Linked DNA regions of Tribolium castaneum. The protein of the gene in region 2 purifies or fractionates together with the protein of the main gene of each other region. This does not show direct contact. Links are inferred from orthologs where the notes say so. Each region holds a gene or a part of one and is shown on either strand. Other genes may lie near its edges.

What was found.
Region 1: the proteins of dac (region 2) and Jra purify together in Homo sapiens (affinity purification with western blotting; 3 studies listed by BioGRID and IntAct, with this or other methods). This does not show direct contact. The link is inferred for Tribolium castaneum from reciprocal best matches to the Homo sapiens genes DACH1 and JUN.

Annotation. Positions count from the first base shown.
Region 1 is NC_087399.1:145,862-149,429, forward strand, and holds Jra (Jun-related antigen), read right to left. Parts: upstream 2,099-3,568; 5' UTR 1,955-2,098; intron 1,907-1,954; coding exon of another isoform or gene 1,834-1,906; intron 1,793-1,833; coding exon of another isoform or gene 1,674-1,792; 5' UTR 1,666-1,673; coding exon 982-1,665; 3' UTR 766-981; downstream 1-765. Other genes in the region: ClC-b (H(+)/Cl(-) exchange transporter 7), read left to right, coding at 1-246, 302-385, 434-616; phosphatidylinositol N-acetylglucosaminyltransferase subunit Y-like, read right to left, coding at 1,674-1,792, 1,834-1,906; uncharacterized protein LOC663924, read left to right, coding at 3,384-3,447. UniProt on the Homo sapiens protein: Transcription factor that recognizes and binds to the AP-1 consensus motif 5'-TGA[GC]TCA-3'.
Region 2 is NC_087402.1:2,086,988-2,091,253, reverse strand, and holds the start of dac (dachshund homolog 1), read left to right. Parts: upstream 1-1,290; 5' UTR 1,291-1,479; coding exon 1,480-2,138; intron 2,139-4,266. UniProt on the Homo sapiens protein: Transcription factor that is involved in regulation of organogenesis. Seems to be a regulator of SIX1, SIX6 and probably SIX5.

The DNA.
Region 1 (3,568 bases), on a different chromosome or scaffold from region 2:
GTTGAGAATGTGGGGCATATTGTTGAATTGTTGAAATTAACAACTTATAACGGATTTCCGGTTGTTGATCCGCCACTAACTGATCAATCGGAAGTTACCACGTATGGGAGAATAAGAGGGTTAGTTTTGAGGTCACAATTAATTGTTATTTTGAAAAAGAAGATTTTTAACGAAAATTCGGACTTTTGGGAGGATATTAATGCGGGAATCTTTCGAGATGAGTATCCCCGATATCCAACAATAGAGGTAGTGGTATTTCTCTCGCCCTTTCCTTTTTAAGTAATTAAGTTTAATTCTTTAGCAAGTGAGTGTTTCCGAAGTTGAAAAAACTTATTCTATTGATCTGAGGCCGTTTATGAATCCGTCACCATATACGGTGCTTCATGTAATTAAAAAAACAAGTAATTAGCATTTAATCATTTTTTTTTTTCAGTCGGCATCACTACCTCGAATGTTTAGATTATTCCGAGCTCTCGGTTTACGACATTTGCCGATTGTTAATGACACAAATGAGGTTATAGGAATGGTAACAAGGAAAGATTTAGCTCGTTATAGAGTCTGGAGACATCGGGGTCGCATGGGGGTAGAAGAATTATTAATTTCCAAAGAAATATGACCGCTTACAGTATTATGATATGATGATATAGTTTCACGAATAATTATGTTGTCGCTTTTGACAAAAGAATTTTATTTATTGTTAATTAAAGACTTTACCCATTTTCCATTGTTTTTATTCTAACCAATTTTTTTTAATGAATTCACTACTTGTTACTGAGACAATTTTTATTAATAAAAATGTGATAAACTACATAAAATAAAACAAATCGCGCTAAATCTACCGTAAATAATACAATTCAAATGGCTCCATACAAAATATGGTCACAGTATTAAAGCTACAACTATGAATATCTCAGCACCAAAATATAAAAAAATCACTCTGGTGTATAATTTTTATAAAAAAATATAAATCGTACTCTATCCTTAAAACTGTCCCGCAATGATGGGACAGCCAGCATTCACATGTTCCATCACTTCCAATTTGAGCATCCCCACGTGTTCCTTCAACTGGTTGACCACTGAAGCCAATTCAACATTCTCACTTTTCAACAGTTTGACTTTATCCTCCAATTTCGAGATTCGTTCCAATTTGCGGGAACGACATTTAGAGGCTGCGAGTCTATTCCTTTGTCTCTTTCGCTCCAATTTCATTCTTTCCTGATATTCCATATCGACAGGAGACATTGGGGGCGTATTATTCACGTTGGGCACCGTTTGGGGCTCCTCTTTGATCACAGGCATGAAATTCTGCTGTTCGCTGTAAACCGTACTGGCATTACTGTCAGAACCTTGCTGAGAATTGCCATTGTGAAGATAATTAAGCGCTTCGACGAAACCGCCTGCAAACTTCTCTTGCTCCACAGTGACGTCCCGCGGGAAGATAAGTGAAGGGGAAGGCGTGTGTGAAATATTATTCGCCAAGATGATGTTCTCAATGGTGGGTGTGTCCACTTTGAGGAGGTCAGGGGTATCTACTTTGAGGACGGACGTGATGTCGGGGGATAACGATAGGTTCATGTTCATTTTCGACTGATTAAGATCAAGAGTGAGATTTTTCTTCATGTTACTGAGGTTTTTTTGCTGACTTTCAAAGTTGGGTCCGCTCATTTTTTTTATCAATTATTTTTGTACAATTCCCAACCTAACCACGACCAAAGATTGAAAAATAGGTAAACAGGCACGACGACCAAAGCCAACAGTGAATAATAAACGGAATCACTAATTTCCATAAAATCTGAAATGGAAATTTTAGGTTAAGTTACGTCAATAGCAAACAAAAGAATATCGAGAAATGAAGATTCTCGAAGAAGAAAACAAAGTGAAGGTCTGTGAGGTGTCCCTCAAGCATTACTTGGTAAAAAAGTAAATAATGAATCTTTAATATTATAACACTTACTTTAACACCACATTCAAAAGCAAAGCGCTTTTATTTGTAATGACTCACAATGTAGCACAACACTGGCTTGAAAATTTCTTGAATATAACTTTTAACTTCTTGTGTAGTATTGTTCTCGAAATACTACAGAATACTAACAAATACGACGTAATAACTTTCGATATGAATGAGTCATCCCTTTCATGGATTTTCAGAAATGAGAATGACGTCATGTCGAAATGATTCGCTAAAGCGACACCTAGACAATTCTACAGGAAACTGACCGCAGTGTTTTACGGGTTGCCAACATGATCTTTGAACCCCATCTTACCCCATCCAAAAAATACGATTTAAGAAATGAAAAGACAGTGATATTAACGACTAAAGTTTTAGCCGATTTTCATTCAAAAATTGTGATTTAATTTACAAAAAAACTTTGGAAACAAAGAAAAAAGTGTAAATATTTTATATTCTGTCCGACTTTAAATGCGATAAGTACTACAAAATAAAAACAAATTATGGTAATAACCAAATAGATAACTATTTTTAATTATCATGCGAGGAAAAAACCTTTATTTAGAAAATGTATGATAAGAAGCATTGGCACTAAAATAACAGAAATTGTAATAAAGAGATCAACAATAGTTGTCTATTTCTTCAAAATGACGAAAAAATTCCTAACCTGCTTTATTTGTAGCGTATGAGCTAGTTTGCCTAGGGTAAACACAGTTCCCTTGACCTTAATAGGATAATTCATTTAAATTACTTTTTCGATCAAAATACGTCCCCGAGTGTATGCATCAAGGAGCTCCTTGGTCCGTCCTTGGTATACATCAACGGTTCATAGGTTAAAAAACCCAAATAAAATTGATTTGCAAATAATAATTCCACAGGGAATATTTGCCACTTCCTGTCTCGCCTTCGCAAAGCGGAAAAATGGATGGTGTTATTCAACGTGTTATTTCATCAATTGCAACAAATTTGGACGGATATGGTGAATTATCCAATTGTATCAAACGGTTTCGTAATACTAATTAGGATAATAAATTAAAGGGTAGACACAACTTTGCAGACTTTGCAACACGAACGAAACATTTTTTTTTTCGGAAAAAAAAAACTATGTAGGAGTTAATCGAGCCACATCATAGCAAATCAGTAACACGTATACGCCAACTTTTTTTTTTGTAATTACGGAAATGGTAACCCTTCTTCACTTCAGTTCATTTACTATCAATCAATAAAAATTGAAAAAACAATCCGTTATATTTTTCTTAAACGCAGATCGCACTTTATGAATCTTTCCGTTAGAATCAAGGTTTCGCGCAGGCCCTATTTGAAGCTGCATTCAGTCTTCATATTGAACTCAAACCGAACATTTCGTGATCATATAATCTAATTTTATTTAAATTAAATAATTCTTTTCGTTTGAAATTTTTAACACAAACCAATAATGGTCCATTTACAATACATTACTGGACTATCCCTTCTTCTTATTTTAGTGTGTTTGAAATCAAGTAAGTATAAAACACCCTCCAGTTCGAATTTAACTTATGCCTCTCATAAATTTATTTAATTATTGCTACACTTGTGAAGTGCTACACTTGTGAGACAGTAATGATTACATAATCAACTACT
Region 2 (4,266 bases):
GAATTTGAAAAAAGCAAAAAAAAAGGAACAATATAGTTGACTACTTTTCTCTACAAGTTCATGAAAACGATTTTCACTAAAGTCGTACCTACGATTCTACCATAGATAATACCAAGCGATTTTTTTAAGTTTTGATCTAATTATCCATGACAGTTACCTCAGCAGTGAAATATATTGCGTAAATAACTTCAGCATCGGTTTATCTGCCAATGTTCTCCGAAGAACATAAAAAATATATTGAAACCTTAGTTTCGTAATAAACATCGAGTTAACTTAATTGTCATGGATAACTAGATCAAAATTTTAGAAAATCGCACGGTACTTATAGAAAATATATGTACACTCGTCTAGTTTTAAAATGTCATGTTCATAGATATTATTATCATCTGTTTATTGGCACGATATTTTCAAATAATCGAGTATATATGTACTTCAATCTTATAAAATAGTAATTAAAAATTAACCATACAAGTACCTAAACAACTTAAAAATTAGTTAAAACGTTTCTTTTTTACAAAAAACACTTTTTCTCAAATTGGTGTTCATTAGAAAAGAGTGCTTTGAGAGGTGCGGATGACTTGAAGCACCTGGTATACCTAGTATAAATATCTTAGATTTTTTGATAATTATATAAATAAATCTTAATTTAAAATTGTCTTTTATGGTATAAAATTAAGGCTCGTTAAACGAGCTACTTTTGGTGCACTGCCTATTTGCATCATTATTTCTAAAATGTTGCAAAGCTGATGGAATGACTGTGAAAATGTTGATTGTTTATGAGGTACTCAAGCGAATAGAAATAATCTAAAACACTAATCTATCCACTCGGTAATATCCAAGCTTTTAATCAATACTGACAGTTGATGACCTGATGTCTGGTGTGAGCGTCTTCTTAATCGTTAAGAAAGCCCAATCAATAAATCGCGCTTCGATTTGAATGTTAGTGTTATTGTGTTAAATAAAAATGGCGCTTATATTTTTGTCGTGTCGTCCGTTTTAAAACAAAGAAGTGCATTGGTATGGAATAAAAAGCGGCCCGCACACCTCGTATTGATTCCGCAGCGACAGCCCGGTGACATTCTTTATCAATACGTCACAGCTCATATTTCAAGTTCTCTTGCATCCGCCCTCAAAGCTACAAAGAAACTAAGTTCTTTCAGTAGCGGAGGGTGGGCGGTAGCTGTTCTGTGGTGGTAGGGCACCAATGGCCAGACGAGGCGCAGCCGCTCTACCCAATAGGCCGTGGCGAGTGCGTGACGAAACAGGCCCCGCCTTCCGGCACTTGCAGCACTTTTTCCCAATGTTTTTATTTATTACATTTGTACCCGGCGAGTGTACCGGTCGTGTCCGCACCAGTCGAGTACAGAGTGTACCCCGTGCGCACGACGCCCCGCCCGGCCATCCATCCGAGCCCTCACTGTTGCGACTCCTCTTCTGGGTGATGGACTCTGGTGCAGTGCTCTAGGTGTTCGCGTCGCGATGGACAACTCCGGGATGGACTCCGCCAGCGAGCACAGCAGCCACGCGTCCTCGGGCTCGCCGGCCGTCGCCGTCAAGCCGTCGCCGTCGCCGCCCGCCGCCAACAGCAACACGCACCAGGTGCACAGCCCGCGCCAGGCCAGCCCGCTGGGGCCGCCCATGTCCATGGCGCACCCGCTGAGCCCGCCGCCCGTCAGCTCGGCCAGTCTGGCCCGCAGCATGGCTCTGGGCCACCTGCCGCCCCCCGGCTTGGGCTTGCTCAACTCGCTGGGGGTGCTGCACAGCCCTCTGGACCTCATGGCGCATCACGCACCGCCACGGTCCTACAACAGCCCGCCGCCGATTTCCACCTCCGATCCCACGGCTAATGAGTGCAAACTGGTTGATTACAGAGGACAGAAGGTCGCCGCTTTTATCATCGCCGGCGATACCATGCTGTGTCTTCCGCAAGCCTTTGAGCTCTTCCTCAAGCACCTCGTCGGAGGACTGCATACGGTTTATACCAAGCTTAAAAGGCTAGACATCGTGCCGTTGGTTTGTAACGTCGAGCAGGTCAGGATCTTGAGAGGACTCGGTGCCATTCAACCAGGGGTTAACAGATGCAAGCTACTCTCATGCAAAGACTTCGATACACTCTACAGAGACTGCACTACGGCCAGGTACGTGTTTGCGGATTTTGGATTAGTTCTTATTTTAATCAATGATTTGCCGACAACTTCAGCGATTCCAGGACTTTGATCATTGTTAGATCAATGTGACTTTGAACAAATTATATTGATTATGATACCACAGACGAATATAGGTATTTATGACAACGATCCATAGCAAAGCAGTGCAAAAAAAACAATTTTTTGTTTGTTGATGCTTGCCATTATAAATATGCATTACCTACCGATATTTAAATAGGTATTTATAAAATTAACATACAGTAATAGTTTCCTAATCACTGATGATGCCAATTCAAATGAATTCGACTTTAAAGTGAATTAATTACTGTTATACGTATCTATTATTATTGTCAATACTAATTACATTATTACTTTTTAATCTCGGAACCTACATTATGGGGTTCTAATTTTTTATAATTTTATAATTTTTTTATAATTTTCTAAAGAAGTTCTGTTTTTTAATTGTTTTTGTTCTTTATATATTTTTTTTTATTTAACCTACTACAGTGATAAGTCATCGACCATTGTTTGAAATGCGATTTTCCTTTATGAAGTTAAAAATTTATACATTTTTTAGTGTTTAGTTAGGTGGTACCTACCTTATTTTTACCGTACCTACAGATATTTACTCACAAGTGGGGTCAATGACAATAATGACATGCTCTATTAATTTTATTTTTACTTTTATTTCCATGAAATCATACTGGAAAACAAAATCGATTTGTTCAAAAAAATTTTTATAAATGTTTCTACACAAAAGTATGACTTTCTTTTCTATCTCGGGAATAAATTATGCGCGGATTTTATAATCGTCAGGTAATTTTATACTGGGGATAAATTTTGAAAAATATATGGTTGTAACATTTGTAACTATAGTCGTTAGGGGAAGATAGCCTATATTATACCAAAGTAACCAAACGGAGGTACATTTTTGGAAACTTTAAACAAATAACTAAAAATGAGGTAGATTACAGAAAAACAAAGTTAAAAATGATTGTGTATGAGTAAAAAGACGCTAAACTATTGTAATATAAGCGCAAAAATTACGAAAAATTGGCCCGAGATTTGTTGTTTTGTTGATAACACAATGAAACTTTTAGCTACAGCTTTGAATTTTACTACACTGTCAAAAATACTTTCTGTTATACCTATTCTTAAAAAAATCGCAAAGATATAATATAGGCTAATTGTAGTAAAACATAAAAATACGAAAAAATAGTAATTTTGCTTTTTTAATTTTGTTCTTGAGCTTGTACAAAGGTCTAAATTTGATTTGGCGCTCGCTTGGAATGTAGTTACCTTTGTATAATTTATAAATGCTGCTCTCTTTGAAGCCTACCCCTTGCATTGGTAGAATTCCCCCGATTGCCAAGACAGCAGAGACAATTGCATTTATGATAGATGCAGTCTATAAATACAAACTGGGCCAACAAACCCCCGCGTTTAGATTGAAATAATTATAAACGCAATGAAACAAGGGGAGAATCGAGTGCAGGATAGCGTCCCCTTTCTATTTCTGCATACTCGACGATTGTTGATTCAATAACATGAAACTCGTCTGAATTCCAATCATATATTATAAAACTGGAGATAACGCACGTGTTTTATTAATGTTTCGTGAGGTCCGAGTGGCGCCTCTCAATCGATATATTATTTCGAATGGTATAAAGGGATGATAAGTTGAACGGTCATCTGACAGAACCTATTAGCACTCGGCTATTATAAAGGCGTAGGCTATCGGAAAATCTTTGAGGCTTCCCGGTGCGTTCATCCTCGCCCGAGCCTGGCCTCGGCTACTGACCATTTATAATATAAATATTAACGCTATTGTTTGTATTGTGGTCTTTAATGGAATTTGTTAAACATCACGCAAGGTTTTTCGAAAAAACCGAAACTTGAGCGAGGTAATTAAGAGACGTTAAAGCCATACAAAGTAGAAAACAACAATGGGATACGTGTAACAATAAACAAGACGGGAGCATAGTGTTCTTGTGGGGATTTAAATCATCTTTAAATAAATATTGTTGACAGTTACGCCTTGCCATTAAAATATCCGAAGCGGGTAGACCTACAACTTGTTCGAGAAAATCACACTGTTATTTATTACGGGACTATGGCA